2 linked regions of the Tribolium castaneum genome follow. The protein of the gene in region 1 purifies or fractionates together with the protein of each later gene. This does not show direct contact. Links are inferred from orthologs where the notes say so. Each region holds a gene or a part of one and is shown on either strand. Other genes may lie near its edges. The genes, in order: protein dj-1beta and Pten.

Region 1 (15,490 bases):
AAACATGCTAATATAATAGAAAAATTCAATAATTCATTAATTTTTCTGGCGGTTTCTGCGAAATTGTGCAAAAAATGCGATTTTATTTAGATAAGCGGTCGAAAATGTAAAAAAATAGCTTCATTTTTTAATAATTGTCGTTTTATTGTTTGTGAAATTTTACTGAACGACTGCGTATTTTAATGAAAATGGCTAGAATAATATTTCAAAAATCAAAAGAATTTACTTTTTGATCCAATTTAGTAATTTTTTTCGGTTGATTTTTGAGAAATTTTGCTTGTGATAAAATTCTGTGGGCAATTCTGTAACTTTTAAATATTTATTGAATTTCACGTCTAGAACGGAAAAAAATCACTATTCCTATTCCGTTCTACAAAAATCTATTGACTTCTACGCTTATTTTGGACGAAATTCCTCAAAATAGGCGCATTTCCAACCAAACAATGGTTAAAAAAGGAAAACATATTTAAATTTTTAGACTCATTTAGGTTAGTAATTTTGTGTTTCGTTTTAAAGGAAGTAAAAATTACACCAATTTCGACATAATTATGTTATTTTTTGGCGTATTTTTTATTAAGTTTGGCGAAATAATTGCCTTTCTGGTTTTTATCTGAACAACACATCCTAAAACGCTTGAAAACAAAAAGAAATGACATAATTTTTACCTAATTTACTTAGTGCTTTTCCGTTCAGTACTGACAAAATTTCGACCAAAAAAACGGTGTTTTAAAGTTTTAAATAACACCATTTTCAACCCATTTAAAAAGTTTGTTTTCTATAAGCCCGGAATCGCCCGGAATGCTCCGGAATTAACAAAATTCTAAGTAGATTCGTTTGAGAAATCCGAACATTTTTAGTTTTAGTTTTTATCTAAGACTGATAAATTTTTTGAGTAATTTTTTTTAAATAGAAAAATTTTGTATCTGTAGACGAATCTGTAACTCCAACGATTTACTCCGGTTTTGCTGTCTGGTAGACTTTAAATGCAGATTCGTTATTTCTAGTTTTATTTTGAACATAATATTTTCAAAAAAGTCTTCCAAACTTATTGGTTTGGTTATGATAAGCCCAGAGGCATCGAAGCCGCACCGAAATCGACGAAAAATCATCTAAAAATTCCAAATCTTCCAAACTCTGTTACTTACAGCCGAACAAAATGTCTTTTAGTAAGCTGACTTCTGCAGAAATATAATAACGAATAGCATACTAGTGATTTCATAATTATTAAAAAATTATAAGTGTGTATAAACACGTTCTACTTTTTGTGAATATCACCCAACTTGTTTGATTGCAGCGCGAGACCGAAATCCTCTTCTTCCTGATCATCGTGATCATGATCAGGACCCGAAAATCGGGCAGTGTATCAATGATCAATTACTTATCGTCTAGTTTCGTGTACACAAAAATAGCGAATTTGATACTATGGTTCAACGCCGATTTTCTGATGGGCATTATCTACGGGATCATATTCATCTGTGAGTCATTTTGTGTCATAATTGTCGCATTTAATTGGGTGATTTCAGTGGGGGCGTTGCTATTTCCCGAGCCCACGTATTCCGGCCCTGACAATGTCATTTATTTCCGGGGCATGCAAGGCTTGGACGAGGAATTGGCACGTAGTCGGGACGGCTATTGGTTGGTCACGTTTTACACCGTCTGGAACCCGGCTTGTGTGAACTTCGCCCCGGTTTTCGCAAAACTGAGCACCGAATATCACTTGGAGAATTTCAAGTTTGGGAAAATCGACGTGGGGCGATACCCCGATGCCGCACAGAAATATCGCGTGAATGACAGCAGTTTAAGTAAGCAGTTACCCACGACAATTCTGTTTAAAGAAGGGAAAGAAGTGGTGCGGAGGCCGGCTATTGACTCAAAAGGCAACATTTTGAAATTCTTTTTCTCGAGTGAGAACGTTAAAGGGGCTTTCGATCTCAATAACTTGTACGAAGAGTGCAAGAGCGCGCTTAAGAATAATAAGAACAAACACGTGAAGAACGACTAATTATTGTTATTTATTTGTTTCTAGTGCCATAGTAATAAATTGTTAATACGACAAAAGCATGGCTTTGGCCACTTCTGCCGCCTTGTCCTTTCCGACAAGTTTGTCCACTAGGGTTAGGGCGAAGACGAAGGCAGTGCCAGGCCCTTGACTTGTAACCAGAGTCCCATCAACCACAACTGGCTCCTTTTTGTATTTATATTGACCACCTTCGAGCATTTGCGCCTCCATGGCTGGGTACGACGTCACAGTCTTGCCCACATAAACCCCATGGGCCTTCAAGGCCGTGGGCGCTACAACCCCATAATTTTAACATAGGCAACCAATTATACAGGTGACACAGGGCTGTGTAACTTTGCTATTTGAAATATTGCTATGCTGTTTTCATTATCCGATAGATCGACTTAAAATCCACAAACTAAAAATATTTTTATTATACACAGGGTGTTGTATAACGGAATTATTCAACTTCTGGTTATAAAAAAGACCAATTTTTGAAAAATCATAACGAAGTCGCCTATGAATATTTTCCGCCAAATTTGCAATAGAAAAATTCTGAATACCTTGTAGTTTTATCAAATAGATTACACACCCTTGGGTCACCCTGTATAATTAAGGAAATTTCACAGTAAATTATTACAAACCGGCACAAATCGCCCCCGTGAGTCGCCCCGCCGCCTCCTGCTCCCGAATCAACTCCCCTACTTCTTTAGACGCGGCCAAAGCCTTCGCCCCTCCTAGCCCCCCAGGTAAGACAATTGCGTCAAAGGGGCCTTTGGCCTCACAGATTGAAATGTCAGGTTTAATGTTGACACCGCGGCTGCACTTGATGATGTTGGCGTCCGGTAGGCCTGCAACTGTTACTTCCACCTAAAAATAACAGGAAAAATTTGTGTTTTTTTTTAGTAGGGGTTAATTTACACCGCCTCTGCGAAGTACGTCAATTGCGATTACAGCCTCCATTTCTTCAGCGCCTCCGGCGAGGAAAACAAGGGCTTTTGTGCTCATATTCGAAATAAAACGCACCGCTAATCCTAACCTATTAAAGCGAGTGAGCGGAGCCCTAAAACTTTGACATATGACTGACATTGGAGTAGGTCATGCCAGTTTGGGGATTTTGTTCGCGTTAGGTTGTTCAACAAAATTGCATATTTTGCAAAAAATAAAATTGGAAATAAATACACGTAATTCCCCTTGTGTCCGTACTCCCTAAATTAATGTCATAATGACTGATTTTGTTTAATTACGGTAATTACATCCTTGTAATTAACACACCTAGTTAGTTGGTGTTGCAAGGTTGGCGGCGGAATTTGACGTTTGCCACACCTATTTGTTTACCTACCCAAATGTGTCATACCTTTATTTATTGATTTAATTGTTAAAAAATACATAAAAACATGAATTACGGCAAGAAATCGCCAACGACTGGCACCCCCTCGGTGTACTCACACGTCACAACACGCAGCAGTGCGAATTTGCGAAGTAGCCGAAGTATAAAATCGTTGAAAATCCCTTGGTACAGAAAACCAATCATAACCGAATCTTATATTTTGGACGTCCAGAGATCCTCCCTATTAATCGGAGTGTTTTCTTTGGTATGTTACGCCCCCTTTGTTTAAATATCACATTTTCATAAATTTCATGTTTTAGCTGTTGTCCATCTTCACAGTTATCACAAGTTGCTTCGATCTCTACTGCTACTCAATGGCAGTCCCAGGGTCCGTCCACACCGGCTATTACGTTATTTCCTACCAGTTTATTTACGTGGGAAACCGTCACGGTAAGCCCACCATTTAATCGCCCATTTGTCCTCAATTTGTTGTTTTAGTCCGCAATACTCTTGTAATGTTTGCTGCTTTTTCCATTCTTCTGGCAATTGGTGTGTTTGTGACCAGCATTATGCTTATAATTGCTCTCCGGAAGGTAAAACTACAAAACTTTGATTTGTTGTTGTTGGTACTTGTTGTGGTGGTGGATAGGTGGCGCTAAATGTAACGAGTCACGAATATCATACGTACGGGCCAGGATATAAACGAAAGGCTGATTTTCAAACATCACTCTGGTTTCCCTTCAGTGCGAATAAATCTTTCGCCTTTTACTAAAGATTTCCGTGGAGGGGAACAATTCAAATGAGTCTATGAAAATTTCTTGATTGCCCGGCGAAAGCTGGGCGCCTGATTTAATTAAAGCAATATTTTCCATGTTACTTTTAAGTAAGTGGTTTTTTAATTGTATTATAATATCCACTTTTGCGCACTCTTATAACTAAGTTTGTACAACGACATGTACTATTATAGATTATACGGACTGTTTATAAATATTGTAGGATCTCAGGTGGTTCTGGAATTTGAATTTGCGTCTATTTGTTAAAACTGCAAGGTATTCTGATTTTTTTATTGCAAATTTTCCGAAAAATATTCATAGACGACTTTGCAGTGATTTTTTATCTTTTTTATAACGAAAAGTTGATTAATTTTAAAACGAAAAAAGATAGAACCATAATAGTTTATATAAAGTTACATTATTTTTTCGCGTAGATTCTAATTATGCAAAAATATATAGGGTGTTCTGTTTAAAAATATAACTTTAGTTCACCACTCTGTGTATAATAAAAATATTTTTAGTTTGTGGATTTTAAGTCATCTATCGGATAATAAAAACAGCCTAACAATTAACAATATTTCAATTACCAAAAAAAATGTAGACTGATTACACACTCCTGGGTCTCCCTGTATTTAATTACCACGGAAGAGAAATTAATTTTCTACAAAACCTGAAGTTACAAAAATGTTTTTATTGGTATTATCCACTAAATAGAACAAAATTAATATGGATATAATTTATAGAAAAAATAAAAAATTGCAGTTTATTGTAACAATGACGGACTTATGTTAATTGTTTAATTAAGGAATATGAGAAGAAGATGGTGCCGTGGCTGTACGCCTTCGGCATCTTCACCGTTTTCCGCCTCCTGGCCTACCTCTTCTTCTCCATCGTGAACGACATGATTTTCGCCTACAACGTGCTAATGTGCCTCCTCTGGACGGTGTTTTTGGCCATAAGCATCTACGGTTGGATCCTCGTCTACTCGCTCTACATTGAATTGTCCGACTTGACGCGACTCGAGGACTTGGCGCATTTGAGGGTGAGTGACTGTACAATTAGTAAATAATTTATTTTGTGCATGCTTGCGATAGATAACAGAACGGTACAATTTAGGTAAGCGTTTGGTCGTTGTAGAATTGTGGCTAAAAAGTATTTTGTTTTGTTAAGATGGGCACAATGCAGTCTCTGAATGCATCGACAGTCCCCTCCCTGGCGGGCTCTCGACCGACGACACCCCACAGTACGGTCTCGACGATGCCAGTGGGATGAGTTATGGGATTCCCAGCTCGTTCTCGTTCGGGACCACCGTGTCCACCATATCGTAATCTATCCGTCCACAGTTTTATATTTTTTTATTGTAATCACTTGGATAATACATTGTTTTAATTTTCGAATTCGACGATTTCGTAATAGTCGCCCACTTTCAATGCCACTCCTCGGTCCGATACTATTTCCTTAGGGAGGTCGTCGTTCCCGTCCCCATCCTCCAGGAGCCGAATCCTCTCGCTGATTTGTGTCCTTGAATCCTCCCCTTTTTTGAGCAACTCTGATTGGGTCTTAATGCGAGTTTCTAATAATTTTATCGTGTTGTCCAACGTTTCAACAACTGAGTACGATTCAGGAAAGGCCACTTTATCCAAGAAGTACTCGCCAGTGTGTGTGATCAGGCCATTAACGTAGATATTTGCACCTAAAGGTATCAAGGACTGGTGCTCCACTTTTTTGCCCAAGGTGCGGACATTTTCGCTTGTAAGTTTCAACTCGTCCAATTGATTCGTAACAGAGAAGATGGTTTGTTCAGTTTTTGCCAAATCTTCTCGCAAATGTTTAATAAATTGGCTTCTGCTTGACAGAATTTGATCGGCCAAATTCACCGCCATTTTTAGGTTAAGTCAAAATGTCAACTAATACCATCTAAATGTAATGCATCATTGTAATGGTGGTTGCCCAACTTCCAGGCGTATCAAAATTTCAATTGCAATGTTTGGAAAAACCGTACAGACCACAGAACTCATAATAAATTATATAAATAATCTGAACTTGCGTTCGGTTTTCTGCCTCAGGATAAGAAATTAAAAAACTAAACAATATATTCAAACAGCTGTTTCAGCTTCCTTCTACAAAATAATCCGGAGTTAAAATAAATAAGCGGTAGTTCGGATTACGGGATTCAGACGTTCGGATAATCCAAACATGACTGTACAATTATCAATTTTATTACGTAAAAAATAGATTTACAAAGCATAGAAAGGATCAATGGGGCTCTTCAGTGTCGGAGTTTTCAGCAACGGCTTTGCCGGCTTCTTGTTGGCGTCGTATGGAATTTGTGGCGAGCTCAAAATCTGGGCATGGTGCTCTTGCACGTCTTGTGACCTATTGAGCTTGGTATTGATTTTGACTTTCTTGACCGGAGTCGAGTTGGCAAATGGGTTTTTGATTAGTTTCGTAGGCAAACTCAATCTTTTACTCTTCAAGCTTTTCTCCACCTCTTCAGTTGCATGGTTGCTCTCATCCCATTTATTTTTCGGAAATAGTTCTTGTGGCGCTTTTTGCGCTTCTTCTTGAGGGGGTTTTGTGACCAACCACGTCCCGGAATTACGTTTGAAAATTGATTCAACTTGTAGTTTGGACTGTTTCTCAGGCGGGCTTTCGGGCTTGTCGACCAACTTGCGTTTCTTTTTCATGACTCGAACTAAATCGTCTTGGAATTTTTCGCGCAGTTTTTCGTCGATTTTGATTTTTTTCCCGCCTCGTAACTCAATCGTGTCACTTTGGAGCTTTCGTTTGCGGTTTTTCGTGCCTTTGATTTTCTTATCGAACTTTACTAAACGATTAACTGCTTTTCTAATATTCGTATCGTAATCATCAGATGCTAATTTTACTTTTTTCACACCAAGGGGATAAGTCCCTGATGCTAATTTCCTAAAACTGAGACAAACTCAAATTTGGGTCAACTCTCACTATTGTTACCTACTGTTCTGCTAGTTCAGTTAGACACTTCCGTGACTTGGAATTGGTCTCTTTTGAAAACCTACACTCTAGTAAAGCTTTAGACACAGCTCTTGGGTGGAATTTCAATTGTGGCAAGTCCACGTTGACTTTACCCGCCCGAGGGTCGAAAACTTTGTCTTGTGGGGGCTCCTCCTCGCCCCCTTCGTCGTCCGAGACTTCGATTTTTTGCATGGCGTCTATAGTCCCAGGAAACCTCAAAGCGCGCCAAGCTTTGTATTTCTCATCATATTCCAAGCCCAAATCTGACTGTCTTATCAAATAAATAAAAATGTGTTTCCTGATATGATCAATGACTCTAGCATCGTCACTAAACGACAACTGTCTCACAAAAGGGGCTAACAGCTCTGTCATTAACTGTGGGGGCAATTGTCCCTCTGAGACTTTGGATAATTCCTCGAGATAGATTTCAATGAAATGCATAAGCAGCCCCATTGGTTTGTGTCGTGGGGGGTCCAGAATTGTCTCTGAGAGTGTTTTAGTAAAAGTCTGGGCTGAATCACGCCCCCAATTTTGGTTTTTCAACACCAGAAAAGCCTGTCTCAAAAGCCGCCGCACAAACTAAAACAAACTTGTACTTTGATTTTTCCAACCCAACTAACTTACCATCAAAAACTTGTCTAGTCGAAGTTGGTCAATCCCAAACCATTCATTCATTAAAATCGTCATCCCACACTTGTAAAACAACAAGGCCCCCTCGACTGGCAACGCGTGAATCAAACTTGCAATATTCTCGGCACATTCTTCCTAAATTTCGTAATTTTGACCACAATTGTACCAAATTTTTTAATACACTCACTTGAACCAAAGGCTTGTCCGACATCCACATTGAATAGAACAAACCCTTCCAGAGTCGTAAGAAATCATCTTCAGTGAAAGCTGCAAAGAAGTGTGAGCACAACGATGCAAATTTGTACCCAACTCACGAATTGCAGACGACCTGTTTTGAAACCACTTTCGTAAGCTTTTCAGCGCCCTATCTCGCGCTGTTTTGTTATTTCCGGCCAAAACGCGGGCGAGTTTTAACTCTTGTGCCACTAAAAGCACCTTTTTGGCTTGTTTTTTGTTATTTTTTGACGGTTTTTTCGCATTTTCACGTGTCTTAGGTGTCATACTCGTTTCAAGCACCGCCATTTTTGCACCACTCGACACACCAACCGTTAGACGAAAAAATCACCAGGTTTATTTAACAATTTTTATAATTTCAAATGGAATGGGAAATTGGGGACGTGGTAAAACGATCAGGGTGATTATCAGAAACGTATTTGTCTTAAACCGTCAATCGTAAAAAACCGTTAATTTCATTAACGTTCAGTAGCAGGTTGGGGCACCAACCCCTAGGGAAAAAATCACTAGTTTTTTTTTAAATGTTTATTTGGCATTGGGCCTTTTTACAAAATTTGAATTTTTCGAGAACATTGAGATAATGAGTCGTTTGATCCTCGTCCAGTTTTAAATTGACAAGCTCGTGGGGGTCCTCGATCAAGTCGTATGCTTCCACAAAACCATATTCAAATAAGCAAAATTTGATTTTTTTCGCACTTGAAATGTCCAAAACACATGTGTAAGTGTTATTTCGCGAGTCCTGGCATTTGCACCATGCCTCTGGTACACATTCCTGCAAAAGAGTGGCCCTAAATAATTATTTTCAGTCTACAGGGGATGGTCCAGCTCATCTCCTGCCCCAAAAAAAGTGTCATAATAAAACTAGTCATAAATGAACAATTTGTGAAACCAAAGAAAAAAAAATAGTAAGAAGAAAACAAGGTATCCTAATGAGCACTAAAAATAATAGAATGCCATTAAAAAACATATTATGACGTCATATTTTTTTGACACTCTGTATATAAACAGAAATATTTTCCTGAAATGTGTCCTAGAGTACAAATAACAAATACAAAATATTAAAACTCCAACAACTTTAATAATAACTGAGCTACAGAAGACAAGAGTTAGGCTGGACCCCTTGTATTATTAATAATTACCGATAATTGGTTAGTGGGGCCCCAAGGACATGTACTATCGATCGAATTGGCATTGCCCTCGCCCCAATATTCGATGAAAGTATATTTATTATCAAATGATTGATTTTTAAATAATATTTCTTTAAATGAACGTCCGTCTGATTCAAATGATGTGATTTCGGCCAAATCTAAAATAGTTGCAAATATGTCCACTGCCGAGACAGAAACTTCCGATACGGTTTTTTTGCGAATGTTGGGCCCTCTTATCATGAAAGGAACACGAATATCACTTTCATACGGCTGTCTTTTGTCCCACGGTTGCGTGAATTGACCTTAAACAAATTATATCAAACTAACAAATAAAAATTATTACAATAATTTTCCACCAATATGGAACCCATTATCGGACGTAACAATAAAATACGTATTATCCAAAACCCGAATTTCTTGCAATTTTGTGATAAGAGCTTGCACCATCTCATCAACAGATTGTAGCGTCCTAATTCGATTTTTGTAAATTTCGTCCAAAATTTGGACGTTTTGGGGCAAACTCATGGGAGGCATAGCCACAATCCAGTGTTTCTATACAATATAATTATTAGTTTAAATTTTTTCGAGACCGTGAAATATACATCAGACGGTGTTGCATTAAATGGCGGTGTTTTCAAAGTTTCCAAGTCGGGGAATAACCGGCGATGTCGGTCGGCCGGTGTGAAAGGTGCGTGACATGCCGGCGGCGCCAACATCATAAAAAAATTTCCCTCGTCTGTCTGATTTAAAAAATCTAAAGCATATTTTGTGATTTTATCGGTTAAGTAATCTTTCTCGAAAAAGTGACCACTGCCGTTGATCGAAAGCGTGTAATTGTAGTATTTGGAGTTGCCTTTAAGCCCCAACCACCAGTCGTAACCTGGGGGGACGTGTTTAACGCCTTTACCCGACTTTCCATACTTGAAAAAAATAATAAACAAGAGTGAATTTTTCATTGTGATTAAACCTGATTTAGGTATTTGCCGGCGTAGAACGTTGTGTAGTTTTTTCGCGACTTGAGAATTGACGCAATTGTGTTTTTCTCGTACTGTTGTTGCCACCTCACGCTAGAGCAGCCCCCTGTGAGCGAGTTATTAAAAACCTGGATATTGTGTGGGTACTTCCCTGTCAAAATCGTGCTACGACTGGGGCAACAAATGGGCGAATTGACGTACTAAAACCACACAAAATGACCCAAGTGTGTTAACAACTCGACTTACAAAATTCGTAAAAGTGAGCCCTTGATTAGCCACCAATTTGACAGTCTGATTTAAAAAATCCTAAAAAAAGAGATAAAGTAGCCCCTTTGATAAGGCGAAGCCTCACCAAGCTTCGCAGCGTCAAATCCTGATCGTCAGTTAACACAAACACGAAATTGGGTAGCGCATGGGACTGGTTAAGAAGAAAGACACAAAACAACCACCACATGTTTATTTCTTTATTTACAACTAATTACACGCACTTAATTTACGCTTGTGGCGTCAGCAACTCCACTCCGTGAAACTCTTGTGCGATTCTTACTCCTAAAGCGAACAAACCGATGCTTTTTACTAGAGCCCTGCAACGCACATAACCTCACTTTCGTCCAACGTGGTTTAAGACTCACCATTTGAAATCGTCCTGGTATACACCTTTCAGGAATGCAGTGAATGAATTTTGCTTGCCCATTTTTTGCCCCAAACAATCGACAAAACAACGTTTTTCGTTGGAAAAAAGTTATTGACAAATTTCTCGACAGCACTACCAACGTAACTTAATGCTAAATTAAGGACGCGATCGTTATTCCGTAATTCCTTTTTCTCGTATTAAATTATTTATATGGACACTGACACTGTTAAAGTATTTCATTTTGATTATATTTTCTTTTGCTTTGTTTATTTCACCAGTCTCGAAACACTTGTTAATTTCGTTTGCGATTTTGGAAAGTTCTGAGTCATTTTTCAGCTTTAGTTTCTTCAATTTCTCGTCGGAATCGGCATTTTCGACCTTAAATAACTCTAAGTTACTGAACCAACATACTTCTAGCTTACTTCTTCATTTAATTCCATAATTTCCATCAAAAATTCCGGATCTTCAACCCTTTGGTCTTCGTCAATCACAGCCCCTTTCAGGTGCAATAAGTGTATGGCCCGCTTTAGGGGCGTCTGTAACGTGTTGTAGGCCTTATTGACAAGGGATGAAAATTCGGCTGAAATATCCTTTTCTGTGTCAGATCTAAATTATTGAACAATTATAATATTCAAAACCCTTATAAGGACACACATTACTTGTTTGAAAACTTATCAGGGTGTAAAAGACCCTGCATTTGCCGATACTTCGAAGTGAGTTGCTTTGGATCAATGGAAAATTTTTCCTCCAACTCGAAAATTTTGAAATAATTGTCTTTTTCGGGGGGTGACTGTATGTAATTGCACTGTTCACAAAAGAGTTCACCAAGGTTTTTGCGCTCAATTCCACACTGCCAGCACTTTATTGCCTTGTGGTTAAAACGACGGGGGCACAGATTGAGGTTATGTGCGTCTGATTGTAGTAAAGGCACATGGGGGCTGTATTTTTGAGTGTGGTAAATTGTTCTGGGTAATTGCCGGAACAGGAAAGTGCGTAAGGACATTTTATTACGGTTTTAGGACAATTTTTGAGGTTGGGTTAGGCAGCGCATGCGCATAATTTGTGCGCGAAATACAAAAATGCAGGTCCACCAACATGGCATAGTCAAGGGGGTGCTAATAAAAAAGTGCTAATTGTCGGGTGTTTATTGGAAAAAATCAACAATTATAGAGACAATACTGCTTGGTTCTTAACTTACAAAATCAGTTCAATCGCTTATTTACACTATGTACAAGTTTGGCACTGCTAGTAATTCCCTTATAACTTATCTTTTTTCATGGTAAAATCTATCACTTTGCAAATATCGCACTCGGCTTCGGCGTTGCACGAGCAGTCCTCGTCGCACTTCTTCAACCCTTCGCACAGCTTGAAGTTTTTGAACTGTTTCAACTCCCGCTTGACCGTATTGAAATCATCGACGAGACAAGTCTCCTTATTAACTAATTGTTATCCCTTTTGTCACATGAACACGTCTTGGAGTTCGGGATCCTTGTTCAGTTTCGCGGCCATTTCGTCCTCAAAAGTCACCATTTTCTCCTTCTGCTTGTTGGCCATTTTCCTGGGGACCCTCACCGTCAAAGGGAGGAAGTTCCCGGTGATGGGGGTGTCCCCGGTGGCTATGGACAGGTCGAACTCGCTGACGCTCCTCGGCACGAAATACTCGACGAGGGGCTCCGCCCCCGCCGACCTCCTCGCGGGCGTGTTCCGGCTGAAGTTGCTTTTGCGCGGGAGGCTGTTGTGCTGGAGCATGGGGGGGATCTTGTTGACGACGGGGGGTTTCTTGATGGGGGCCGCCCCCTCGGTCTGGGGCCGCTGTCAGGAGGCGCTCTCCTCGTCGCGCACCTTGAGCATCTTGTTGCGGGTGCACGTGGCCCCAATGTAGCGCAGGAGATTGATGACTTCGTCTTGGACGAGGCTGAAGCACATGGCCACCAGGGCCATGCCGGTGAGGATGTAAGCCGAGCATGCGCACAGGGAGACCTCCTCGGCGTTTTGCCCCGGGAGGAGGTCCCCAAAGCCTATGGTCCCCAGGGAGGTGAAGCAGAAGTAGGAGCCCTCCAGCAGCGACCAGTTTTCCAGTCGGTGGAAGAGCACGGCCCCTGAGCAGATGTAGGCGAGGACGATGACGAGGCAGAGGGTGACGGGGACCCGCACGGGGTTGGTGCAGGGACATGGGGGCTTCTGGCTGCTCATGCCGCAGAGTTTGCCGTAAAGGCGCCGGAAACTGCGGGCCAGGAGGTCGCCGGTTGTTGATAGGTAGAGCAACATGAGGGGGATTCCCACCAAGGCGTACAAGATGGTGACGAGTTTACCCCAAGATGTCCGCGGTGAGACGGAACCATAGCCTGCGGAACGAAACAAAAATCAATCAGTTATAACAATTAATCAAGTTGGAATTCGACAAAAACTCGATTAAACTTAATTGAATGCTGCACTAGGGGATAGAAAGTCGGATTTGGTTATTAATTGGTTTACGCTTTTGCAATGTACAGTGAGAGGATGCTGACGAAAGTTGAGCTTTGATTAAGGTGATTCGGAGCCGATTGACTGGAGGAGCAATTACTGCAAATTGAATTTGAACTTTTGATTTTTTTCACATGGGTACTATTTTTAGTCCTTCACTAAAAAAATCATGACTCGAAAACTAAAAGTCCTAGAACAAAACGGGTTGTTCCAGCAATTTTACGGTTTATTTTACGTAATATACAAGGTGTTTGTGGATTGCGCTCACAAATTTTAACCACTTAAAGAATGCGTTATGAAAAATAAAAGACAAAACAAATTCCGTATCCAAAATTTTTTTTCCCATTACTACTGACCTACTAACATTGACACTAATAAGGTTTTTTTGTTTTTACGCTGTTTACGTTCCATAGTTTTTTTTTGTTTGAGCAAATGGAAATATCGTATCTAGACATAGGCGGAGACGGGTTTTCAGCCTCAACTTAATTTTAATTTTAACTCAGAAATGACATGTTTTAGGCAAAAATTGGAGACAGAAAAGTCGTTTTTTTTTTGGCGAGATTTATTAGTGGTTAAAATTTGCGAGCGCGATCCACAAACAGCCTGTACTACGAGCCCTAACAACTAAATGTTCGGTCGTATACATTTTTGTAAAGAAAATGCATGTCAAGCTAGTGAATGTTTATTAAAAATAATAATTAATAATAATAATAATAATAATAATATTTATAATATACGCCGAAGCTGCTCCAACCCCAATACAAAAAAAAACAAGAACATTAAAATCATTACGATCATACTTAAATAGGTAAGAAGAATAAATATGATAACCAAAATAAAACAAAACAAGAAAACAAAATGAAAACGAATAGAGGAGGTAAGCAAATAATATTAAAAATAAAAAATAATAAAAATAATTATATGCTGTTTGTCTGCTTACTTAAAAAAAATTGTTTGCGAAAACTGTTTGATTTGATAGGCGCATTTAATTTATTGTTAAAAGAAACTGAGTTGTAAGTAAATGAACGTTGAAACACAGCCGAATGAAAATGTGGTAAGGGTAAGGACATTAAATTAGGATATCTTAGATTTGAATTGCGAGTATTATTATTAAATCTATATAATAGTTTTTCACGATGATAACAAAAGATTTATTTAACATAAAATTAAAATAATAAAAAATATTGGACAACTAATTGTTTGGGCAAAAAAAAGAAAAACTTTTTAGTAATTTGTATCTAATATTTTTTTTTGGTTTTAATAACAGCTCGAATGTACGGTGGTATATTTTTAAAATCTGTCGCAGAATTTTGGTGTTTTATTTTATTTTTTAATTTTTTGAATTATTACTATAAGAAAGATTTCAAAGATAATTTCTTATTTTGTGCCTAAATGACATAATGATATTTAAATAAGGGCTACTTGCTGGCTAAAACATAACAATAATGCAAAAATTGGTATTTCAAAAGTATTTTTTTATAAAATACAAATACTTTATTAGAGAGTAGTAATAAACCTCTGCAAAATATTTTATGTTTGATGCTGATTACTGTCTTATCTATGAACTCAGATTGTTTCAAACCCTTTGAAGATATGCTATGTTTCTCTCACGGTCTTAGGAGTTTCTTATTATCAGTTTTTGAGAATCTTAAGAGTCTCCAACGCTCAAATTAAGATTCATCAGTAAATATTATTTTTGCAGTCTTTGTGTGTCTACTAACACTTACTTTTGACTCACAGAGTTCTCTGTTTTTTTTTAAGCAGCAGTGAGCAATGTGTAACATGTAACATTTTGTTGTATATTTACAAAAAACAGGAGCTGTTTTTTATCGATCTACGGCTCCATTCGCAAGAACAATTGGATTCATGTACTTCAACATAGTATTCCACTCCTTTTGCTATTTTTTTAATAATTTAAAATGTAATAAATGTCTTACAATTCTATCAAGTTGAAGGTCAAATGATGTGAAATACTTGACTTGGCAGTCAAATCTTATTTTGGTATTAAATTTGTTAGCTTCTATACATCTAGTTGTAGTAAATTAATTTCAAAAACACGCAAGTTGTATTTAGAGAGAATCCATGCAAATTATGAATAAAGTTTTGTTGAAATAATTAATAATAAAACGAGATTTCATTCATACATTTAGTTACTAGAGCCGGGCGTAGTCTTTTTTACAATATCTTACAAGTGTAGCTTTAAACAATTAAAAATATTTACATATATTCTTAAAAACTTGACGCTCTAGCAAAGTTTTATGCATTTTTCTTTGTTTTTAGAACCTTTTGCATCTCTCAAAAGTGCAAAAAA
Region 2 (16,709 bases), on another chromosome or scaffold:
TTTAGTGTGTTTGAAATCAAGTAAGTATAAAACACCCTCCAGTTCGAATTTAACTTATGCCTCTCATAAATTTATTTAATTATTGCTACACTTGTGAAGTGCTACACTTGTGAGACAGTAATGATTACATAATCAACTACTTTTATTGTTCGCACCCTTCGAGACCCCTCCAATTTTTTCCACCAATTCAAGTAAATCGCTACTTGTATTGTAGACAATTTTAGAAATACTTTCGCTAAAAAAATTATTAATCAGAAACATGTAAATGCATTAATCGTAATTAATTTAAAAAAGAAAAAGGTGCATGCGCACGCGCAATTTCATTTCGAAGATCAATAAGCTGTACCATTTGGGAATAAAGAGAGAATAAAGTTGAGAAAATCTGAATACTATTTGTTTTTGTTGACGCAAGTCATATCATGAATGATAAACACTAATTTATTCTATTTCTGTACCAAATTTATCTGTGTTCCACGAAGAGACTATATTATGTTCATTGAAAATGAAAACACTTTCAATGCACACCCTCTTTAACTTAAAAAAAAAATCATCCGTTTTCTCTTAGGTAACGCCATTAGATGTTACCAGTGTAACAGTTACGCGGATAAGAGATGTAGCGACACCGATATTGCCAAATATAAGACCGAGTTGGAAATGGATTGCCCCAACATGTCGCCCCCTGGAAGTGAGCCCGGAACAAAGTACAAACTGTGCCGGAAAATCAAGCAAGTGATTGACTTTGAAGTCAATGGATGTAATAAGTGAGATCGAGAGTTTGAACAGTTTTGATGATTATTTTTAGTGCAACCGGAAAGTCGTATTATCAGGACCTGTGGTTGGGATGACTCCCATTACAAGAACAAATGTTATCAAAGGTCGGGGTTCGGAGGTCGTCAAGAAGTGTGCGCTTGTGAGGAAGATGGTTGCAATAGTAGTAGCGCACTTTACGCTTCCGTCGCGTTACTAATGGGCCTATTAATTGTCCACCTGTGAGGTGTTGGAGTTCATTTCTTGCTCACTGGTCGGTCTTCAATAAAAACAATTTTTTTTATAATAAATGTAATTAATGATCAGTTTGCCAATTGCTCGAACTTTTTTCGGTGTGTTCGTTCGTTGAATACGAAAATATTTGTTTCGTGAATAAGCACAATGTTAATAAGCCACAATATCATTGTAGTAGAAGTTTAAATCTTGTTATTAGACATGCTAGAGAATGATTTAAAATTTAATAACTAGTACAAGAATAAAACACAGTTTGGATGGTGATGAGTAAGTATTGTCACTTTGATCCTATTGTATGATAATACATTTTAAATCAATTCGGTTCAAACTTTAGAAAAACCGAATCGGTTTGGTTCGTTTAGATAAGATAGTTGTCTGATTTTCTCATAATCGGTTGCTTTAACGGACGTTAGATGTACATAATTTACTGCCAAAAATGCATTAAATCCATTGACGATTGTTAATCATAATAATAGTCTAACGTAACTGTTATATTACTTTTAGATGCACAACTATAATTTTAAGAGTGAATAAAGCATTGATTTTGAACCGGCCCCATCCTAAAGCCCCCCAAATCTGTTGAGGTTACATAACCGCACAAGAACTTACAGTAATAAAACTAATAAATACAAAACTATTTGTGACTTACCTTATACTCTTATCTGTCCAATTTTAATCCAGTTTCACGAAAAAAACACACAAAATAAAATAAACAAGCACTTTCGAATAAGACCACACTATTACCAACCCCACCCCACTAGGAGAAACCGTACTACCAACCTTTTTTGAAACAATTTGCGGGAAAAATAAGAAACACAAGCTTTAATCAAACACTTTTCTATTTGATTAGGTGATTATTATCGGCACAAATCATTTTTTTTTTCGTGAGAAAAAATTAATAAACGCTATCATATTGGCGTTGCTATGACGATCCTGAATCCATCAAAACAAACAAATTTTTTTCGTACGTCAAATCCGTGTTTGAAATGTTGTGAAAAATGTTATTTTAAGAATTAATTAGTGCAATTTTATGTAAGTATTAATCGCTTGCGTAAGTTCGGCATAGTAGCGACTCAAAATTGCGTAAAAAAAGATTTTGTTAGAAAAGGCAGGACCGAATTGGCCCTCTGTGACAAGGCCGGGCTCCTGATTCGGTAGTCGGTAATGATTAATGATTAATGAATTTGAAACTAATTTTTTGTATTAGCTTAGCGAATAAAGGACAAATAAACGCAAAGTTTGTTTTAATAATGAGCCCATTTCTAATAGTAACCAAAAGTCCTAGACAAGATTTAATTAACGTGCTAATTATCCCCTCCCTTCCAGAACTTTCCCAAGTTATATAATGGATCAAAACCGTCCTGACGTGAACGGGAATCATCAACAAAACGTCCATTTGCACATGCATCACGTATGCGCTTGTCAAAGCCTCTACCCCACCACTTACTACCCTCCGATCAGTTATCGCACCCCTTTAATCCCTTACGCTGCTGCACCTCAAACTGTTGCGCGCCCTTATCTCCAACATTATCAATACACTCAATTCAACGTCGGCAGTCAATACAACATGCCAATGACACAATTATCATCCACATTCACTGGAAGCACCCCTGGTCATCCAGGGCCGGATTCAGCCGTCGCCATCCCTAGCCGCGATCGACGTGAAAAGGGGGATTCCCAAGACAGCGTTCCCGATCCGGAACGAACTCCTCCGGAACCACCCGAGTTTGAATTTGGTGCTGGTCCTATCATTCCCCCAGTAAACGAGCTTTTTTTCATGGTAATTTTCTAAAATTACTATGTTATTTAAACAACTCCTATCATTTATAATTAGAACAACTCGGAGGACTTCCAGATGAACACTGATAGTTTTATTAAGTTTCTGGAACGTAGTTGTTTGACAGCCGAACAAATTGCGTATAGAAATCGCAACAGGCCGTGCTTTCGCAATATACAAAATTTGTGTATTCGGACAAGATCGGAGATACTCAAGCCGCGAACAACTATTTCAAATATACACTCACAGGGGATCCCCTGGGCCACAAAGGATTTTATTTATGCATTTGTCAGACTCACCAACTGTTGGCATATACTGAAGGGTTATTGGGAGAATCGTGAAGGCTCGGCTTTGGGAAAAATTGAAAAAGAGTTAACTCCGGGTTTTAAAGCTTGTTATGTAAGATGGGAAAGAGAAACGGTTGAGTTGGCTACCGAATTGACAAGGATTTTTTATAATCTAGACGTGAATCAAAGCAATCCTAGTCCCACAGTTAACGTACATACAGCAAACAATTTGATCCCTCCTCAGGTAATTATCCTATAATTTTAATCCCAAATCCCTGACCCTGGACCATGTAAGGTGAGTCTTCTAAAAACCGGCGAAACGAAAAAAACTACTGCAAGTAGCGAAAGTGCCACAACTCCAACTTTAACTAATACAACTTCAAATTCGAGTAAGAACGTCAGAGGAATACTTCATTTACCTTCAACGTTGTCTACAGAGACTGTAGACCAAGGGAATCAAACGTGCTCTGGTGATTTTTGTACCAAATCTGATGATAATGACTCAGACGAGGAAAATGCAGTTGTTTACATGAAACCGGGAAGTTATCGAGTTCCCAAAAAATACAAAAATAAAGAATTATCAATCATCAATAAAAATAACAGCCCTCGCGTTATTGAGTTTCTTGAAACGGCCCAAAATATCACAAAAGGACTCGAAGCGGCCAATGATAAGTATTGGGTAAAAGTCAAAACCTCAGCTAAAAAACCTGAACAAGTTAAGTCGGAAATTGACGAACCGATGGAGAGTGAGGTACAATTCTCGCGACTTGAAAACTTACAGCTTTAAGCGTTTTTTTAGATGAATTCGGAAGTGTTTTTCAATGTACACGAGTGGCTCTCTAATAGTAATTTTTCTGATTATGGAGACCGATCAAGCTCTTCAACTTCACCTCCGAAACCGGCTCAGTTTTTTCCCGACCTTTTGGACGATACTTCTTCCAATCTTGAATCAGATACGGTAAAATATTCATTTCTGTAAGACTCCGTTTAGATTTTTTTAAACAGATACCGTCACGGACTTATCGGAGAAAGCCCGAAACTTTAAGTATTATGGTCTATGAAATGAAAAGTGGAGGTCTAACTAAAAAAGCTAAGACAATCCTTGAAAAAATCCTATATGAGTTGAAAGGCACGGAGTTGGCAGGATTATTGACCGAATGCGTGATGGTGGATCTTGTGTTTATTAATTGTGTTTTTTTTTATTTAAATTTTTAGGACGGTCCAAATTTGGATATGGTTCAGAAAAATCTTATTAGAGATTGTTACAGATATGTGAACGAGTTTGTGAGAGATTTGCGTCATTTGGTGAATAGTGCCAGTCAACATTTCAAAGTAAGTAGATTTGGGTGACGTTCAGGATTATTGTAGTGTTTCAGAAATGTGACCATACGGAGGACAAACTGAAGATGTTTTCGAAAAAATTAGAAACTTTGCTTGCTGAATACTTCCCGAATTATGATTTCGGGTCGATAAATGGGCACAGAGGCGAAAAAGTTGGCAAGTTGAAATTAAAAAATTGCTTGTTTGACGGTGACGGTGACCATTTAAAAAATTGATAAAGATAAGGAAAAAATTCCGATAAGGATAAGTACAAATTGGGCGATTTGCGTCTCAAAAATTTCCTACTAAAAAATCGTTAAATTTTAGGTGCATGAAAAATTGTTTTAAGTAAACTTAATTCTTGTTACAAAAAACTGTTTGTTTTATAGTCGTAAGGTTTGTTGTTGTATAATTTATTATAAATTGCTGTTTCGATTAAAAATATCTCTCTCATTAAACAAAACTTGTTTTAATTAAAAATTATACAGTAATCAGAGTTGTGTGACTTTGTCCCTTTGTTTGCAATTGGTTCCTCCTTCGAATTCCGCTTGCTCTTGCAGTTGACGGTCTCTCTCGGCCTCCCACAAGTAGGGATCTTTTTTTAGGGTGATACATAAGAATGCGCTTGCCAACATCCCCAAAATAACAAATAAAATTAAGATGCTAAAGCCGATGATAAAAGTTATTGTGTTGTCCGATATCTGAAAAGTGTCATGCGCTGTAACGTTGAGAGATGAATTGGTGGAAAGATCCATGTCTGCAAACGAGTAAAATGCAATTAAGACTGCTAAAGTCGGCTAAAAAAATCGTCAAATTGGATATTTGACTTTTAAATTATACCGTTGGGTAAAGCTAAATAATTGATTTATTTATGAGGTTTTATTGTTAAAATTAAATTGACAGAAGGGAGAAACAAACAACAAATGAGAAAGATACGTGCCGGTTTAATTTTTTACTTCCACATTAATCAACCTTGACGAGAATGTTAAAATGAAATCGTGATTTATCTCAAGTGTGGTAATTTTATTTCAGATCTGCCTTTCTTTATTATTAGAAATAAATCGAAAAAAGTTTTGTTTATTATCTTTTTCGAGTAAAATTTTCAGTAAAATTAAAATTCATTATGCAAAAACACCTTAAAAGAAATATAAATCGATTTCACTTCGTGCCTACAAATTTCTCTAAAGTCTCAACACCTCTGTCTTACCGATTAGACGATACTCAATCATCTGCAACCGAAGCAATAAAAATCCTTTCACCGGCTTTATGAACTTCCTGGCGACGGCTTCCATTTCCAGACAAATTAGGTAGACAAAGCTTTTAAAACAATTTAATTATCTACCATTTTGACTATAGATGCGAACTTTAGGAAAGCGTACAAATTCTCAACATGATGGTAATTTCTTTGGCTATAATTGGAGTAAACGCTTAATTATGCAGGTCGTTACGTGGCGTCACTTTGAATTAAATTATTTCACCAGTAGCACCTGCTATTTTTATTAATTGACACTAACAGTTTGTTTGTAAAGCAAAGTCCAAAGGATACATTTAATTTTAAAAAACAAACTTTGGGATGTACACAGGTTTGTTTCTTGGGCGTTGAGTAAAAAGGTACGTGAGTTACTTTTTCGTCTCATTTTTCTCGTTATTTTCGACAAAGTTTTGTTCTGAAATATGATTATGATTAAATAAAATATGTCCGAGGTTTTAACTTACCTTTAAAAGAATTGCGAAAAACATATTACTCATTATTTCGTTATTCGTAAATTATTATTTTTCAAATTAATGATGTTGAAAATGGTGGATGCGCCGGGAAAATTAATTGTCGCTTTGCAAGTTAATTGCTTGCATAAAAATGAATAAAAATCTATTAAAAGGAAACTTGCAGCTAGAAAACAATTTTATTTCTACTCACATCCATATTATCTTATTGTATTGTAGCTTAGACACCTCATCCGAAATAAATGTGTATGTTGTAGTATTTTTCTTTGAGTTATTCAATACTAAAAAGCTGTCACTTTATGAAAACAGAAACCAAAATACATAAAAGTCAGCTTTAATTACTTCTCATTTTATTATGCACAGTTCAGCAACTTCTCTCACATTATTTCCACATATTTCACACATTAACAATGCATAATAAAAATTACATTTTATTTATGGCATTAATTAAAAAATTTAGACCTTATAAGTACAGCCGTACCAAATTCTTTTAATCAATTTAATCCAGCTGTGTGTGCTTTTATTATCGCTCTCTTCTTTTCATTCCTGTTTTTTTATATCGAAATGAAACACCAAAATGACTGTTTTAATTAATTCCAGTTTCATATTGTTAAATTAAATTATTTCAGCATATTTATTTAACTATCTAAAGAATAATAATATGTACATGTACATCATTAAGTAAACAATATCTTGGGTTTATTTGTCTTGTAGTTAAATACAACCTCCAGTGGGATAAAATGCACAAATGAAGAAACCTTACATATTCGCATCACAATTGCAAAAAAATATATAAAAGAGAAAGAGCAATTTGATAAGAAAGTAACTGCCACTCGATACCAAACCACGCAGATATGAGACTTTTATTCCAGCTGTTATAAGGGTTTAATGTATCATTTAACATCTTCGAAGAGATTACATGAAAACATTAAATGTTTTGTCTTGAATGTTAGGTACTGAAAATTTCTCTCGCATTTCACAAAGAACTCACAATATTAAATTCGTAAAAACACATTGGTTTCACCTGCTTTTGGTATCATTACATCTACGTTTTATTGGCCTCAGGTGTTTGAATAGGGTAAAAATCGGATAACAATCGATTCTGCTAGTGTAGTGTTGAAAAGCTAGTTAACCTCCAGTGTATCCAATTTCAATTAAACTTTTCGAAATAAAGTTACGGAATTAATTTTATCACCACAAATAATTATTATAATGTTTAAATCCGATTAGATTACGTTCAAAATTAGTTGCTTATTAATAAAAATAATACACAAGACTTACCTACATTTTAATCGCAGCGCAAAATATTGGAATGTGATACTCCGACGGCAGTTTGAAAGCGTCGCGATGCTAAACTAAGCGCCGTTTCCCAAAACATGAATCTGAAAAATGTGCGAATGCGCATACGTTTCCCCAACGTTTTTTATTGTTCAATGTTCTGAATAGCTCTTTTAACACTGATAATAGCACATGGTTAACCATTTAATAATTAATACAGATTTATTGGTATAATATAAATAATAATAGTTGTAAAATTCAAAATTTGCGCCACTTTTGGTAACAAAGTCGTGCCAACCCACCGTGTGACAGTTAACAACAAGTGACACTGTTTTTACATTTCTTTGTAATAGTGGGATGCCCCGGTTTTAAAATCGTCAATGGTAGTGTAATTCCAACTTTCGCGATAAACTGAAATGGCCGATGCCGCTTTTACCCGTAATGAGATCATAAGTTTAGTTGTGAGGTTAACCTTGGTTTCTGCTGTAACGTTCATTAGTATAAAATGGTTAATGAACCAAGTCGATCCCACTAATAAGAGTAAAAAGAAGGCTCGGAAAAAGGCACAGGAGCAGTTGAAAAGGTGGAGAAATTGTTGGTGTGACTGTACCCCAATTACATAATTTTTAGGTTAGCTGGTAGCGGGCATGCTCCTTTAGTTATCGAAAACTTGTCCGACTATGAAATGATGATAGCGGCGCACTTGATACACCCCCAGGACATTAACGTGACTTGGGGCAACATCGCCGGCTTGGACGACATGATCCAGGAGCTACGCGAGACTGTTATACTTCCAATCCAACGCAAGGAGCTGTTTGCGGACTCGCAACTCACCACAGCCCCCAGAGGTAACTAATTAGAAAGCGTCTTATAGAGATTAAAACAACTGTATCTAGGTGTGTTGTTACATGGACCCCCAGGTTGTGGCAAAACGCTCATCGCTAAGGCTACAGCCAAAGAGGCTGGGACCCGATTTATCAACTTGGACTTATCAATCCTCACTGATAAGTGGTATGGGGAGAGCCAGAAATTAGCAGCTGCTGTGTTCACCCTTGCTGTTAAACTTCAACCCTGTATTATTTTTATTGACGAAATTGACTCGTTTCTAAGGTCGAGGAATACCACCGACCACGAGGCGACTGCTATGATGAAAGCCCAATTTATGTCATTGTGGGATGGTTTGATCACTGATCCGAATTGTACTGTTATAGTCATGGGGGCTACAAATCGCCCCCAGGATTTAGACCGGGCGATTTTACGCCGAATGCCGGCCACATTCCATATTTCAATGCCAAACCCTGTACAAAGAAAAAAGATTCTACAACTGACTCTTGAGAATGAACCCGTTGCGCATGATGTTGACATAGATAGACTAGCGAGGCTCACTGATGGCTTCTCAGGTTCGGATTTGAGAGAGTTGTGTCGGAACGGGTCAGTTTATCGTGTTAGGGATTACATGAAAACGCACAGTGACACGGTTTTGGATTCGTCGGAAGATGAGTATCAAGACGCATTACGGCCAATCACAATGGAAGATTTAATGGTTTCGTTAAATAAAATGAAAGAATCGAAAATGCATTGTGGGGCTTTACCGACGAATCGGATCGAGTTGGATTAGCAGCCGTGGTTTCAGTACTTAGCACCCATTATAGATAATTTTGACGACACTGTAGAAATGTATCAAAGTTTTTCAAATAATTTCAAACATTGTGTTAATTATCAGAAAAAGCTTTAGTTTTATTTAGCCCAACGAGGCTGTGCCACGAGTATTGTGTTGGGTTATTTGTGTATATAGTTTAGGGAAATGAGTCGCTCTCTTCAGAGTACAAACACTTTCTATTCAGCGTTGATATTTTAAGCATGTCGCATTCATAATATGACTTTATGTGTAGTTTACAAAGATTTTAAAGTGTGATGATCAACGGTTTTCACTCCATGTTGAAGTCATGCGTCGCATGTTTACAGTGTTCTTCATTTTTTTTATGTGAAAAGGTTAAAGAATAAAAATTACGGACGTTAATCCTCTTTTTACATTGTTACAATAATTACATGGCTTAGACAATTAATGAAATGAAAATTAAGTATTTCCCCTAAAACATTTTACTCCGCCGATAAGTAAACGTAAACAATTCGCAAAATATTCTGGACAAGGAAAGCTTCTCTTGCGCACATTTTGTCCTGAATCTCTTCGTCGCACAAAGTGGTTTTTAATTCTGTTAAAATGTCTTTACCGCTTTCTTTGATATTAATAATGCTTGTTCCAATGATATTATTGAGGATGAACAGGTGGGTCCGGAAATTCTCAAGAACATAATCATTAATTTCCAAGTCCCAATTTTCCTTCAAATGCTCGTAATGTCTCTTGACCTCTTGTGTTAATTGCCTAACAATTATGGTACTATAAACTGAATGTTTACCAAACTCTGTAATCATTATCCTCATAATGCTGAACAAATGAAACTGAAAGTGGAAGACAATGAATCGTAAAAGCATGCACGACTTGCGTTCCAACACACCTTTTCCTCGCAATTATCAATTTTTAACTCTTTAACTGTCTTGATTAGCTTTTCCACGAACATTTCGATGATTTCATCCAGTTTCGTGTTGTTCCAAATGGAGTTTTTTCGATAAGTAAAAATGCAAACTTTTAATTCTTTGAAGTCATTCAAAATTGAAGCTGCATCTTCACTCGTGCAACGACTCAGCTTAATTACGATATAGGCTAGCAGTTTTTGTAAAAGACTGTTGAATGTTTTCGGAACTTGCCATTGTGTTAACATTTTGCAAAGTTCAACGCTTGGGATTAACCAATTTTTTGGCATTTCGGATATTTCGGTGAAAACAACAACGTCGTCTGATATTTTGGTGAGAATATCGCTAATGCAGCAAACATTACGCTCATTTACTTCTTCCATAATAGTTGTGATTTTTTTTAACTGGAGGACGATTTTTTTGTATGTTTTTGTGGGAAATGGGTCAGGGTGAAGGTCAAGGCACAGGTTTTTTAAAGTCTCAGCCAGGCTCTTTTCATACATCATCCTAGAAGCATTTAAAACAAACAATTAAAAAAATTAAAATGTATGAAAAAAATGATTTGGACCAGTATAAGCATGGAAGTGGGAAAATTCTTGGAAAAATTTGGAGTTTTTCCGAGGTTAGAGATTGTGAACATGATATCATTTTCATTCGGTGGGTTTCGTTAGAAAACATAAAGTCGTATTCATTTGAACTGGAATAAGAGTAGGCTTTGATAATATAAGCGTAGAATAATAAATCATTTTGTAAATTTGACTCCGTCCATAAATCAGATATTCAAGAAAAAAGTTGCAGTTATTTTTGGAAAACTATTCAAACGTCGATTTTTTTAAATTTATTTAAATAAAAAACTAAGATAAAATTCGCAACTAAAGTTTAAATTTCTAAAGTTACCCATTATGCCATTAAAATGAATCGGACTTTAAGTTAATTTATGTGTTAAATATGTTATCAAATTTGGGCACTTACGTTGTTAATTTTTAATTAAATGTAAAAAAAATGTGGCAATAATTAATCACTTTCAATTAATTGACAAATTGATTGTGATCGATGCCTTCTAGATTATTGCGTTAAAAATGTCTTATGTTATTTACATTTTTGTTTTTAAATCACAAATGCTAGAAAAATGTAGGAAAATCGTTACAAGCAGGGTTGTAATTTTGAAATAATTAGTATATGAGTCGATAAATGAACTAACGGTGTGGATTATTAGTTTTGTCATATGACATAATAATCAATCGGTGGGTGTCATGAAGTCTCTGGTTGATTTTTGTATTTGCCCAGACCTCTATTCGCTTATCTATCGGAGTAGAAAAGAATTAATCAAACGCCAAATATTTGATTACTGATAAAAGGCTTAATATGACGATTCTTGAAATTTCGTGCAAATTCTGGGAACCATTTTCCACGTGACATTCCTTTTATAAAAGTCCCCTCATAAATATTAATTGTGATTGTATGTAAAGTCTTGTCTGTAGAATGTTCAGTCATCGTTTCGCAATCCTCTGAAATGTCACTAGCGGTGAATCGTAATTTTAATGAGAGAATTCGTCCGGAAATCGCGGTTTTCTTTCATTCATTCGCGTGAAATTATGAAATTCCCGGTCTTTTGCGCGCCCTCTATCGGAATTCTTGACACCAGTCGACGCGATGTAGTTGTCTACATTGACTGAATCTGTGTCGACAGACCGTGTAGTGCCGTAAAAAAGACAAAGACGTTTGAGTGTGGCAGCGATTTAGTCCGAAAACAGCCCCAAACCGGCTTTGAATCCCTTGATCGAGGTGCTCAGAGCAGCCCCGGCCTCCGAAATGGGGACGAGTGCGTGATGTCTATAATCAGGACGGCTGTGGAACGCATGTGGTGTGATTGTTCACCGGAGGCACTGTCCGTTTAAAGGGCCTCTAGAGGGGCTGCGCCCCGGGGGCTGACACAGCGGACACGAGGGTTCAATGGTAGGCACGCACGCCAGCGCACGAGCTATCAACATTTCGTGGACTTTTGCCGAGACTTTTTTATGGGGCTGTGCTCCAGCTGCGGCAAATCAAAGGACCGATTTAAAGGTAAGCCCCATGTTGGAGGGTTGGATACAAGAAACGCGCATCAGTGACATAATATTACCGAGATAACATTACCTTGAAGGTCGCAATATGTAAATAGTTCCGCTTTGGGTCGTGTAAACAGTCCTGCGCCCCGAACCCCCCCAAGGGTCGGCTCGCTCCTCTTCCAAAGGGTTGAAGGTCGCCGGACTGTTGCCGGGCCTGCGAAGGGCATCAACTATTCATGATTTAAATTGTTTATGCAGAGTTATTTTTAAACCATTTAATGGATAATTTAGGAAACTTTCAAGGCACGTTTCCTTCTATCAAATCGGTTTCAGTCATTCGCTCATTTTGGGGACAAAATTCGGCAACGATGAAACGGTTCATGGTCTTCTTGTGACATTAAAACGACGCGTTGTTGTCAAGTCGCACAAAAATAGCTCAAATTCAAATCGGGGATAATTTTAACACCCGCTTCCGGATTTGTTGACATATATCACGTGACTGTTGCTATTTTGACAGTTGAATATTATTATGTGTACAAAATTACGCAATTTAGGCGTCGCTTACTTATCGTCTTCCGGTTTTGATATTTGGGTCAACATTGATTTTTATTATAACATTACCTTTTTTTTATTAATTTTTTTAATTGTAATTGGTGCCAATGAACATGTCATAATAGTCATCACGCCTTTGTTCTGATGCAATAATGCAAGCGATTTTTTTTAAAGATTTTTCTTTGCTTTGTTGTGAAATTTGATCAAGTATTTTGAAATGTAAGCCAATGTGTGCTCATTGGTGCGAAATTACATCCACTGTTAAATATTTCCGTTCATAAAAATGTGAGCGAAATTAATTTAATGAGTAAATTTTATCTGCCGCATCGTTATCTATGATTTTGAGATATTGAATTATTAAAATGTGATACTGAGTACCTGTTACGAGAAAAATTAATGTAATACTCATTAAGTACTCGGCTCCGCCTCGGCCCAAAATTTACGATTTTTTTAAGTGTCTTAAATTGATTACTACAATTAAGATTAGCGTTTTTCGTTTTGATTATTAAGTTGCAGGTATAAAACGAGATGAAACCGACATGTCAACGGTCACGTATCATGTCCAAATATTTGCACAAATTGTAATTCCTTCTGTTTCCATTGATAATAAATTACCATTATCATCCTCCGTTTTTTGTATTTCGTCCAGATATTGCATAACCTCTAGACTTGTAATAAAGTGGGTAGAATACAAAATCGTAATAGTCAGACAGAAGGATAATAAAATAATGATAAGATAAAGACAAGTCCTTTTAGTGGGGGAGTACACTACATACTATAAGATTATACATATCTGCAACCGATAGAATTGCAATATGTAATGTTTTGTTCTCTCGCATCAGATAAATCGTCGAAAATATGTGGCCAACTACATTCAGTCGTTACACCCCTTCATGTGTCACATGAGCCCACAAGTTCGAACAATTTGAACGGGCATTTGCCTGTTCAAAATCACGTCAACGCAAGACCGTACTCTTCAGGTAATATGGCAACATCTTTCCCCAATATGAACATCACCAACCCTATACGGGGGCTGGTCAGCAAGAGGAGGATCCGATACAAGCAGGACGGGTTCAATCTCGACCTGACATGTATCCTTTTCAATGCTAAAAGAAATAATTCTGTTAGTACTGTTTTTAAAAGCTTTTATTTAATTAATGCTTTGTTGCCTGTGTTTCTGTTGTCCAAATAAACTGAAATTTTGCATACATACGTAATTTCCGTGACAATGCTATACTGTTTAGAGTTAATCACCCTCTAAGGGATTTTAGTGCAGATTTTAAATAAAAGCTTATTTTTAAAAATATTTTTTTAGTTACTTTCCTTGACTCGTTTGTAGACATAACCGATAGCATAATAGCAATGGGTTACCCGGCGTCCAACATCGAAGGCGTGTACCGCAACCACATCGACGATGTGGTGAAGCTCCTCGATTCGAAACACAACAACCACTACTTCATCTACAACTTGTGTTCGGAACGCACTTACGACACGTCCAAGTTCCACAACCGAGTACAAACCTTTCCGTTCGACGACCACAACCCGCCCAAAATCGAGTTGATTCAGCCGTTTTGTCACAGCGTTCACGATTGGCTGAGCAAAGATCCAGAGAACGTGGCCGTAGTTCATTGCAAGGCGGGGAAAGGGCGCACCGGGACCATGATTTGCTGTTACCTTTTGCATAGTGGAGCTTTTGCTACCGCTGACGAAGCCCTCGACCATTACGGACAAGCACGGACGCAAGATCACAAAGGGGTCACCATTCCCAGCCAAGTGCGATATATCCGTTACTACGAGACCCTGCTTAGGAACAAGTTGTTGTATGTGCCTGTGTCGATGTACATCAAGCAGATTGTTTTGGAGCCGGTGCCGAATTTTGCAGGAGGCCAAGGCTATGTGTGTTTTTCGATATCGCAACAGACGCTACAAGGACAAGACGATACACAACAAAAGTGCACCAAATTGTATAAAAGCGGAGTCTACGAAGTGAAGAGAGGTGTATCGCAGTTGCTTATCACGATGGATTTGTGTTTGGTGCTAAATGGAGATATTAAAATCGAGTTTTATAACAAGTCGAAGATTGGAAGGAAAGAGAGAGTGTTTCAGTTTTGGTTTAATACATTTTTTGTGATGTACCAAGAGGACAGAACGAACGAATTGATTGAACAAAACGGAAGTGGTGAATCGAAACAGAGTTGCGTGTTGACGTTAAAAAAGGACGAACTTGATATCGTTAATAAAAAAGACAAACAGAATAAAGTGTTTAGTGCTGACTTTCGGGTAAGTTGGATATTAAATAGGTCAGGTTTTCAAACGAAATTTTATCTCGTCGAGTACTCATTATCAATTATTGTACTTAATTCTCTTAGGACAGATGGCCGTGATAATGTCACGCACCTACTGATTTTGTTGAAAGATTAATCTTAGAATTATTATTGAAATGAAAAAAAAAAGCCAATATTATTGCTCTTAAGATTTGAGAACACAAAAAGACGGGAAGTCTGGATGATTTCATTGCGATATTTTTTGTCTGGTATTTAAGTAAGTTTATCGTTCAATTAATTGTTAATTTTTCCATAAAGAAATAAAACTCAGATAAGATAATTGTTGAAATTATCACCATCGTATATAAATGTGTCTCCTCGGATGGCATTGAACAACAAAGTTTTAATCATTTACTGCTGTTCTTTTAACCAAATTTTTAGTAATATTTGTATGGAAAAATAAACCAGCGAAAAACATAACAAGTTAAATAAACCTTAAAAAGGCCCATATTTCTTATTATAATACTGTCTTTCTTATTAATTTGATAACCAATTAGAGAAAATGATATAAACCTAAATAAGGAAGAGAGTGAATTAAAATTCGGTTTTTTAAGAGATCATGATAAAATTGACGGATGATTGATTAAACTAAATCATGTCGCGAGGTCAATGATAATGTTTCATGATTTATAACAAAAACCTAGTTATTTTCGTAACACACTGCGAGAGAATCTTGAAATAAAAAATATCTGATCATATTTTCCAATAAAAATCGCTCCGAAAAATTTCAACTGTTGATTCGAACGACGATCTTTTAAATTAACGTCTATGTCAATTTTATTAATAAACACTTACCCGTGTTATAAAAATGTTGCCCTTAGAAATTACATATTTCCGCACTACATGGCAGTAGATAAAATAATTAAAGAAATTTTTCTTAAAATTACTTACCTACTTTTGAAAATTCTTACAAAATTTTTCATTTGTCTTTTACAATTTTTAAAAGATATGGCTGACAAAATAAGAAATAATACAACACATAAATTTTTTGAAGGGTGTTACTGCGAGGTAAAGGAAAAATTAAAATGCACTCACCCGGTGGCTTTTACTTGTCTACTTGTGCTATTATTAACAATGATATTATAGATACTTGAAAATTTATAACATGCACTGATTTCTGAATGTAGTTTTATGTTTTGAAATTCTAAAATAATAAAATGATCAGTTTTCTTAATTTTATTTAAGAAGTTTATGAGCCGTTCGTTTGCGTCAACAACAAATGACAACAATAATTATGTAAAAATATGATTAAATAATATTATTAAGAAAAAAATTAACTAATTGCAGCCAACGTGCGACAAAGAGTTTAATTTGATTAATTTTTTGCTTATATGTCCTAAAACCTAAAATATACAAGGAGGTGCATTCACATCTACTAGATTAAAATATTCCTGTTTAATTTTTCGCCGTTAGTAAAACTTGAAATACTCTGTATTTATCAAAAAAGACATTTAAATACAAACTTCTCATTATCTTATCTACTAATCTAAAGCAGTTGTAAGAGATAATCATACTTTTGATGAAATGAACTTATTCATTTAAATAAGTGGTTCATTTTGATTTGTCTCTCCATGAAAAATCCATCGATTTTTTAAAACAAAGGAGCAATGAGGAATCCCAGTATTTAACCACAAAATGGGCTTTCTTGCCTTAAATTTATTGGGGGCTATATTGGAGTGATTCCATTTCAGTTGACTTTGCTTCTTGAAAAAGTTCCAAAGAACCAACCGAATTGGAGGACATATACCCCTGAAATCCCCCGATTATCTCAAGACACACCTAGCGAAAGTTCAGAAGCCGAATGGTCAGAAGAAAACGATTCAGCAGAAGAAGGCTGGGAAAGCGGTGAGTACACGACACTTGTCAG

What was found.
Region 2: the proteins of protein dj-1beta (region 1) and Pten purify together in Homo sapiens (affinity purification with western blotting; 4 studies listed by BioGRID, with this or other methods). This does not show direct contact. The link is inferred for Tribolium castaneum from reciprocal best matches to the Homo sapiens genes PARK7 and PTEN.

Annotation. Positions count from the first base shown.
Region 1 is NC_087401.1:11,624,689-11,640,178, reverse strand, and holds protein dj-1beta, read right to left. Parts: upstream 3,112-15,490; 5' UTR 3,089-3,111; coding exon 2,921-3,088; intron 2,870-2,920; coding exon 2,644-2,869; intron 2,293-2,643; coding exon 2,045-2,292; 3' UTR 2,003-2,044; downstream 1-2,002. Other genes in the region: thioredoxin-related transmembrane protein 2 homolog, read left to right, coding at 1,295-1,475, 1,524-2,002; uncharacterized protein pasi2, read left to right, coding at 3,397-3,594, 3,650-3,779, 3,828-3,922, 4,908-5,144, 5,273-5,374; Nnp-1 (ribosomal RNA processing protein 1 homolog), read right to left, coding at 6,340-7,033, 7,080-7,675, 7,721-7,861, 7,914-7,993, 8,041-8,248; N-acetylglucosamine-6-sulfatase, read right to left, coding at 8,478-8,732, 9,100-9,410, 9,465-9,660, 9,711-10,028, 10,076-10,282, 10,329-10,388, 10,435-10,536; Hsc20 (iron-sulfur cluster co-chaperone protein HscB), read right to left, coding at 11,130-11,322, 11,376-11,719; TWiK family of potassium channels protein 7, read right to left, coding at 12,532-13,061. UniProt on the Homo sapiens protein: Multifunctional protein with controversial molecular function which plays an important role in cell protection against oxidative stress and cell death acting as oxidative stress sensor and redox-sensitive chaperone and protease.
Region 2 is NC_087399.1:149,289-165,997, forward strand, and holds the start of Pten (phosphatidylinositol 3,4,5-trisphosphate 3-phosphatase and dual-specificity protein phosphatase PTEN), read left to right. Parts: upstream 1-11,380; 5' UTR 11,381-11,936; coding exon 11,937-11,982; intron 11,983-12,054; coding exon of another isoform or gene 12,055-12,196; intron 12,197-13,360; coding exon 13,361-13,609; intron 13,610-13,837; coding exon of another isoform or gene 13,838-13,857; coding exon 13,858-14,798; intron 14,799-16,533; coding exon 16,534-16,687; intron 16,688-16,709. Other genes in the region: uncharacterized protein LOC663924, read left to right, coding at 1-20, 566-754, 803-993; uncharacterized protein mtsh, read left to right, coding at 2,348-2,782, 2,837-3,310, 3,362-3,817, 3,866-4,024, 4,072-4,233, 4,282-4,398, 4,443-4,622; nmd (outer mitochondrial transmembrane helix translocase), read left to right, coding at 7,803-7,969, 8,017-8,234, 8,283-9,004; uncharacterized protein LOC103314152, read right to left, coding at 9,487-9,846, 9,903-10,425, 12,055-12,196, 13,838-14,240. UniProt on the Homo sapiens protein: Dual-specificity protein phosphatase, dephosphorylating tyrosine-, serine- and threonine-phosphorylated proteins.